2 linked regions of the Tribolium castaneum genome follow. The protein of the gene in region 1 interacts with the protein of each later gene in a biochemical or structural test. Links are inferred from orthologs where the notes say so. Each region holds a gene or a part of one and is shown in the gene's direction. Other genes may lie near its edges.

The links.
Region 2: the proteins of Pex5 (region 1) and Pex12 form a complex in vitro, tested with the Homo sapiens proteins (2 studies listed by BioGRID). The link is inferred for Tribolium castaneum from reciprocal best matches to the Homo sapiens genes PEX5 and PEX12.

Annotation. Positions count from the first base shown.
Region 1 is NC_087395.1:23,163,114-23,167,453, reverse strand, and holds the start of Pex5 (peroxisomal targeting signal 1 receptor), read left to right. Parts: upstream 1-1,476; 5' UTR 1,477-1,578; coding exon 1,579-1,768; intron 1,769-1,821; coding exon 1,822-1,955; intron 1,956-2,002; coding exon 2,003-2,194; intron 2,195-2,245; coding exon 2,246-2,402; intron 2,403-3,934; coding exon 3,935-4,340. Other genes in the region: ubiquitin-protein ligase E3B, read left to right, coding at 329-458, 505-669, 719-830, 883-1,055.
Region 2 is NC_087401.1:8,582,766-8,585,995, forward strand, and holds Pex12 (peroxisome assembly protein 12), read left to right. Parts: upstream 1-1,417; 5' UTR 1,418-1,432; coding exon 1,433-1,552; intron 1,553-1,592; coding exon 1,593-1,701; intron 1,702-1,743; coding exon 1,744-1,925; intron 1,926-1,965; coding exon 1,966-2,325; intron 2,326-2,372; coding exon 2,373-2,573; 3' UTR 2,574-2,634; downstream 2,635-3,230. Other genes in the region: prostatic acid phosphatase, read right to left, coding at 1-912, 954-1,052, 1,092-1,163. UniProt on the Homo sapiens protein: Component of a retrotranslocation channel required for peroxisome organization by mediating export of the PEX5 receptor from peroxisomes to the cytosol, thereby promoting PEX5 recycling.

The DNA of each region.
Region 1 (4,340 bases):
AATAATGTTATATGTATTCTGCAATGTTCAGTAAAATAAAATCCTTAGAGTATAATTTTTTCTAAGTGAGAACTTATAATACGGACGAAGTTTTTATGAATAATAAAGAAAGTTTGGTTTAGGAAAAGATAAAAAAAAGAAAATTCTTATTAGTGACCTTTTTATATGAAGATATTTAATGTATTTCCTTTGGAGTGTCAGACGTAAAAAGTCTTGTCTTTCTTTATATTTCATTTTTCAAATTTTTGTTTTTTCTGTTGAAATTACCATTTTTTCTCCTTTTTTCCACGAATATTTTTGTTTTAATTCCAATGAATTGTGCTTTTAGGATCAATTACATCCACTTGATGGCCCACTTCCGAATGCACGTGCAAATCAAGGACCAAACCAGCGCTTTCATTCGCGGCTTCCGCTCGATTATCAACCCCGACTGGTTGTCGCTCTTTTCAACACCTGAAGTGGGTTCAAACCGTTGAAAACGCTCTTTTAACAATAAATTTCCAGTTGCAACGCCTTATCTCGGGTGATAATGTCCCCTTAGACATGAAAGATTTGCGCAAACACACTCAGTATTACGGCGGTTTTCACGACTCGCACCGCGTGGTGGGTTGGCTGTGGGATATTTTAGAAAAGGATTTCACCGAGGAGGAGAAAGGAATGTTCCTAAAGGTGCCCCCCGTAATTTAAAGCCCAATTTTCCTAACTTAGGTAATTGCAGTTTGTGACAAGTTGTTCCAAACCGCCGCTTCTAGGCTTCGCTCATTTGGAGCCGCCCTTTTCGATTAGGTGTGTCGAAGTTGGCGATGATGAAGACACGGGAGACACGATCGGTATTTTTTTTGCAATTTGTTAGATTTTGGAAAAATCTGGAGGGGATTTCAGGAAGCGTCTTTCGGGGGTTTTTCACGATACGGAAAAAGGACCCACAGAATCGCTTACCGACGTCTTCCACTTGTTTCAATCTTTTGAAGCTGCCCAACTACCAAAAGAAAAGCACTTTGAGGGAGAAGCTGCGGTACGCTGTCACTTGCAACACTGGGTTTGAGTTGTCGTAATTGTTAGTGGAAATGGAATTTCGACATATGTGACACCCATATCAACCTTTTGTGTTTTAATATTACGATGATCCGTGTTTTTTTTCTCCAAGCCAAATATTTTATCAGATTAATTTATTTTAACCCAATTTGTTGACTATAATCACTTCCATGTTGTGATGTCTTTGTTGTATTTACTTATGTAATAAAATATATTTTAACGAGTTGTTTCACTCCCGGGGCTTCCCTCAATTTTTGGTGACTATGACATGTCACTATACGCACCAAGTTGGCGCCGCGTCAAGTCTTTTAAGCCAAACATTCGATCAGATTTACGTTATTTTAGCCAAATGTTGTGTTTAATTAACTAAATATTAGAAAAAAAGTTTTATTTATCAGTTATCACGTTTTTTGGTGATTGTGGCTTGCCACTGGTGCCGGTTGGCAGCCGTGCCAGTGGCCTTGTCAGTGTCACTTACGTCAATCTGGAATTTGTTTTGATAAAATGCACTTGGTTGTGTAAACTGGGCTAAAAACCGAAAAAATGGCATTTAACCCCTTGACCGAGGCCGAGTGCGGCCAGAAGAACCCCCTGGCCCGCCTGACGTCGCACCTGACCCACGATCATGCCTTCGCGGAGGCCCACGGGCATGCCTTCCCCAGCAGCTCGGACCAACTGGTCGAGCAGTTCCTGCAAGAGACGAAGTCGGTGCCCCAGAGCTTCCGGATGGACGGTAGGGCCCCCCCGTGCGTTAAAACCCCCGTAATTCACCTGTGACGCTTCCAGATTTGATGCGAGAAATGCACGAAATTGAGTCTCAAAGGTCGGCGCTGCCGCCAATTCCCGCCTCCACGATCAAGGACCAGATCCACGACGACGCCTGGGCGCAGCAGTACATCGACGACGGGAAAATCTTCAATGTAAATAGGCGCTGGTTGTGAGTTTTGCACTGTCATTTGTGTTCAAGGACAATGTGAACAGTGAGGCGATCTGGACGGAGATCCTCTCGCAGGAGCAGAACAATGCGGCTGTGGTGGACGACTGGGGCACTGATAATTTCCCAGAGATACTGCCAGGGCCCAGCAAGGTAAATGCCTCGCAGCAGAGCGCTCGGGAGTTTGTTGAGGCTGTTGATGACCCCAAATTTGTGTATTCGAAGGTCAGACGTTACGTCAGGGTTTGGGGACGGTAAATAATGAATAGGTTTCAGTTTATGAGATTCATGAAACAAGTCGGCGATGGTGATGTTAATTTGGAGGACGGGAGGCTGACGGAGGAAGAGGCGCAGTCCTGGAGCAAGGAGTTCCTCCAAAATAACAACGAAGCGGAGGCTGAAAAAGTCGCCAAAAAGTGGGAAAAGGATTACGGTAACCATCTTTTCCTTAAAAAGTTTTTATTTATTTTTTACAAAAATGTTAAAATCAGTAATAAACCAAAAGGCTTGAGCTAGGGTTTTGAGGTTTTGCAAATATTGGCGATTAAAAATTATCGATTATACAGAATAATATCATATATCTTAGGTAATGAAAAAAGACATCCAACTGAGTTAGAAATCGTTTTGATAAAAAATTGTTTAAGCCTTTTGTTACGAGATATAGCTGTTCAATTGTTAGATTTTTGAACTAAGTTTTTGAATGTAGTTAACATGATTACCTATCACTTTATACTTTCAGAACAAATTATCGATTTTTTTAATATATTATTACCAGAAAAAAAAATAGTACAAGGTAAGTAAAAACCAAAAAGCGAATTTTATTAAATTTCGAGATCATAAATTAAATAATTATCAAGGATTTAAATTAAACCAGTTTCTTTTTTTTTGTATTATTTTCTGTTTGTGTATTTGTTTTCCACATTTTATTCACATGAAATACAAAAAAGTTTAATTTCCTATGAAAATTTCATCTGGATTCAATTTTTATTTAATTGAAAAATACATTTTTTTAAATTAATTAATAGTTATTAATAGCGCTTTTATCTTTAAAATCTAGTTTTTATTTTAATTTTTATGTTCTTGACACTTGTTTACTTTCTTTTTGATAGTTTATTTATAAAAATAATAATAATAATAAATCAAAGCTTTTTATTAAATAAAATTGAACAATAATAAACAGATGAGAAGGCGCAGTCTAGCTTGAAGGTATTCAACTTACCTTCAAAGAAAAATTAACAGAAAATATAAAAAAATTAAATTAAAATAAAATAAACAATATAGAACTTGAATAAAAATAAAAATCGGAAATTACTTAAGAACTGAAAACTAAAAAGAAAAATCACTGCCAGTCTCTCAGGAACAAAGGCAAGAAGAAAGAATTCTTTAAGAAAATAAAAAAATACACAGGAAAAAATTCCTTTATGTTTATTATCAACATCACTTACCTAACTCAGTTGAGCAAAGTTAATTATTAAAAAGGAAATTTTTAATTTTACTCTCGAATGTAAGCATTGAATTTATTAAAACTTTCCGCTGTATTCGTTATTTGCTGTAATTACGTTGGAACCAAGCGTCATCCAAAAAAAAAAAAATCGCCGTACAAGTGTGCCATTAAAAAAATATTTTTTAATAACTCGAAACCTAAAAGAAATTTCAAAAAAAAATTCTTGAAAAATATCACATTTTAAAGTCCAAATAAATAAATACAGGCGAGTGATATAAAAAAGCTGTTTCTAAGATATGGATTTTTTGTTGTGATAACGCATTGTTAACAAACTTATCCGATTACACAACTGTGCAATTTTCGCTCAGTTTGTGAATAATGCTCTTATCCCACATGAATGTTAAATATTTAATATTAAGTTACAGAAGTCTTGATTTTTACGAGTGATATCAAGAAATTTTATTTGTTTTAATACAAAATGAATGATTAGGTCGAGAACTAGCCTTGAGCCCTAATTTCAGAAGACGATTTCAATTCCAAATACTGGAACAACCTCCAGGAAGAGCTCAAACAAACTCTAGAAGGCGCCGAATCTAGCGAAAACACTTGGGCGAGCGAATTCGACTCCTACTATACTGCCCCATACAACGACTATACCTTTACCGAAGAAAATCCCATGTTTGATATTCCTGACCCTTTACAAAGAGGCAAAAAACTGCTCGAAGACGGCGATCTGCCGTCGGCTGTTTTATGTTTCGAAGCGGCCGTAAAACAAGAGCCTGAAAACAGCGAAGCTTGGCTACTATTAGGCAAAACCCAAGCGGAAAACGAACAGGACTGTAATGCCATACCGGCATTGAAAAAGTGTATAGAACTGGAACCCAATAATTTAACGGCGCTCATGGCCTTGGCTGTCTGTTACACCAA
Region 2 (3,230 bases), on another chromosome or scaffold:
ATTATAACGCTCAAAATTAGACAGTTGACATTCTAAATCCCACTGTTTTCGTGTAATAACGATGGGTTTTAAAAGCGCAATAAACTCGTCAAAATCACAGTTGAAATCACACCCTTTTGGCGTAATTTTCTGCACTTGACTGGAATTTTTGTAAAAAACGTTGAGATAAAAACTTGAATTTCGCCTCAATTCGAACATTATGGTGCTAGCGTAGGGGGGACAATGGTACTCGAAGGCCCCCATTGTGTTAAGTACGTTCGCTATCGTGACATCATGCGCCGAAAAAACGAGAAATTTCCGGAAATTTTCAATTTTTTTGGTAGCGTTGCGAAAATGTTCAATAATTTCGTTAAAAAGGGGGCCCGTTTTAAGCCTCGCCAAGTCCCTGTTATAACACTGGGTGGCGAAGCTTAGGTGGGCCCACGGGGCCATTTTTTCGGGATAAACCCCCGAGGTCCACTGGGGCAAAACAAACTTATTTAAACTTTCGATGTACAAGGTGTTGTATAGATACTCGAGAGTCTCGAGGGACGTTATATTGGCCCCTGAATTTTTGCTCAAATACGCGTACAAGTCCCGATTTTGTCGACTAATGTTGGCGAAAAACTCGGTTTTGAAAAGTTGGGTTAGAAGCGAGTTGTATTTGGGGCAGTTTTTTTTCATTGAGAGGAGGTTGTCCTCCAGTTCGGGGGTCGTGTGAATTGGGATGGGCTGCCAGGGGAGGGCGGGGTCCCACACTTGGTCGGCTTTGGGGGGGTACAAGCCGGCCAAGTTGGCTTCGGCGGACATGAGCGTCCTATCGACGTCCGTTGAACGGATGGAGAAGTCTTTCTCGGAATAGTGCGGCGATAGGAAGCCCCCATAGCGCTGGCGCAGCCACTGACCCAAGCGGAAATGCTGCTGTTTGCCCAACTAATCAAACGAGTGACACTGCGCAAAAGGGGGCTACTCACGTTCGTCAGCTGACCGAAGCCCACTGGCCAGAACGACGCGTTGCGGTAGGGGTCCCTCGGGTAGGGCTGAATGGGGGTGCGGTCACCATGCCTGTAAATCTGCAAAGGGGTTAAAGACTCGGCAGCCCCCCAACTCACCACAACCACCGAAATCAAATCATCACAGAGCGAGACACTAATAAGTACACAAACTAACACTAGTCTAACCATTGTACTTTGTAATCACAGCATTTTGTTTATCAACATATGGTCAAAATTTTTGACAATTGACAATCAACAAGTGCTGCCATCACACGTTCAACGCACCCGTGATTTGTGCAATTTTACACTCCCGGCCCACCTAACACAAAAAAAAACACACAAACTGATTAAAACACAATTGTCGCGTTCATAACGAATAACCACGAATAAAAGCAACAATGTGAGCAGCCCCACAGAGACATAACCTGTCGCCAGGCCCGCCAACCGTAATTCAAAAAATGGCGGAAAACGCAGCCAATTTCACCCTCACTTCGCAAAACAAACCCTCGATTTTCGAAATAATCGCGTCAAAGTCACTCAACGACACCCTCCACCCGGCACTGCAGAAAATCGCGCTGGTAAGGCTACAATTTTCAGGCGTAAACTAACAATCCGTAGTTTTTGGCCACTAATTGCCCCCAGAAATTCAACTGGTTGGGCAAATACTACGACGAAGTTTTTCTTTTATTGAATTGTGGCCTCCAGTACGGCTACCTGCGCAATTACGGTGAGTAAACCCCCCAAAAACTGTAATAATTGTATATTTCAGACGCCACGTTTTCGGAGAATTTCTACGGCTTGAAGCGTGTCCTCGACTCTGGTAATCAATTGACGAGTCACCACCGTCGCATTTCCTTGTTATTTTGCGTGTTTTTGCCGTATTTCAAACGGAAATTGGACGAAAAGGTGGCTCTGTATCGCTTGGAAAACGCCGACGGTTGTTTGCGTAATGTATGCCAACGTAACTGACCCGACTACTAAAAATCCCTAGAATTTCGAGGGCCGGTTCAAAAAACTGTTAATTTTGTCCCACTCCACGTTTGAGATAACATGGGGGCTGCTCACAGTTTACAATTATATTAAATACATGTCGCAACAAACCGAAGCTCAATTGCCGATTCTTCAATTGATTGATGTCAAGTTGGCGTATTCGGAGCCACTTCCACCTGAGCCAAGTTTCTGGTCGCTTTTATTCAAAGGGCATTTGGCGGATTTGTGGCAATTGAATATTTTGAAAAACGCGGTTACAAGTACCTTCGAGTTTGGGGCGTTTTTCTTGCAGTTTTTGCAAGCCTGGAGCGCTCACCAGAATTATAGTGTGACGGCGCTGCCAACTGTTAAACCACCAATGGTGAGTCTAGTGATAGTGTTGGTAGTAGTGCTAATTTGATTGTTTAGCTCGATGGGAAAGCCCGAAATTATCACAATAAATGTCCGATTTGTTTACAATTTTGGAAAATACCGACTGTTCTTCCTGTTTCCGGATACGTGTTTTGCTTTCCTTGCATTTTGCGGTATTTGAGGGACAACCAGAAGTGTCCGGTTACGAATCTTCCCGCCAAACCGCTGGATATCGTTAGGATATATGATAATGAATAAAAGACGTTGTAGTTGAGAATTTTTTATTGAAATAAACATGCAATTGTGAAAACAACAAAAAGCCACACTTTTTGTCAAGCAAAATGATAAAAAAATATTAATAAAAAACGAAAAAGAAGTCTCAAATACCTGGGAACAAATCCACGAGGTCCTTCCGGTACACTCATCCTAATCCTAGTAATCCTATCCTAATCCTCAAACAGTTTTAAATCCACTTCATCGCCAAAATCCTAGGAAAAGTATTAAAATCCCCCGAAAATTACTACAATTTATTTAAAAAATCCTAATCCTAGGAGTTTGTCCTTTCCTTCCGGTGAAGTGGAGATCAAAATCCCGTGTTTGTGAGACCTATCGCATTGCAAAACATCTCGTTTAAACACTGTTTTTTCAATGAGAAACGTGTCAGTTAATTTTTTGAAATGATTGTGTTTCATTGTTAGAAAAATTGAATAACTTATTTACCGAGCCATTTAATTGTGTGGTGTCCTCTCAACACTCCGAAAAATGCAATGCTTAGTGTGTTAAAAGTTTAAATATCCTCCTCCACGATCTTTGAGACTCCCTCCTAACAACATTCATCCACTCCTCTTGCATCCGGGTGTGTCAAAGATAACATTTTATTGTCTATTATTTTACTATCGACTTTATTATTTTTTC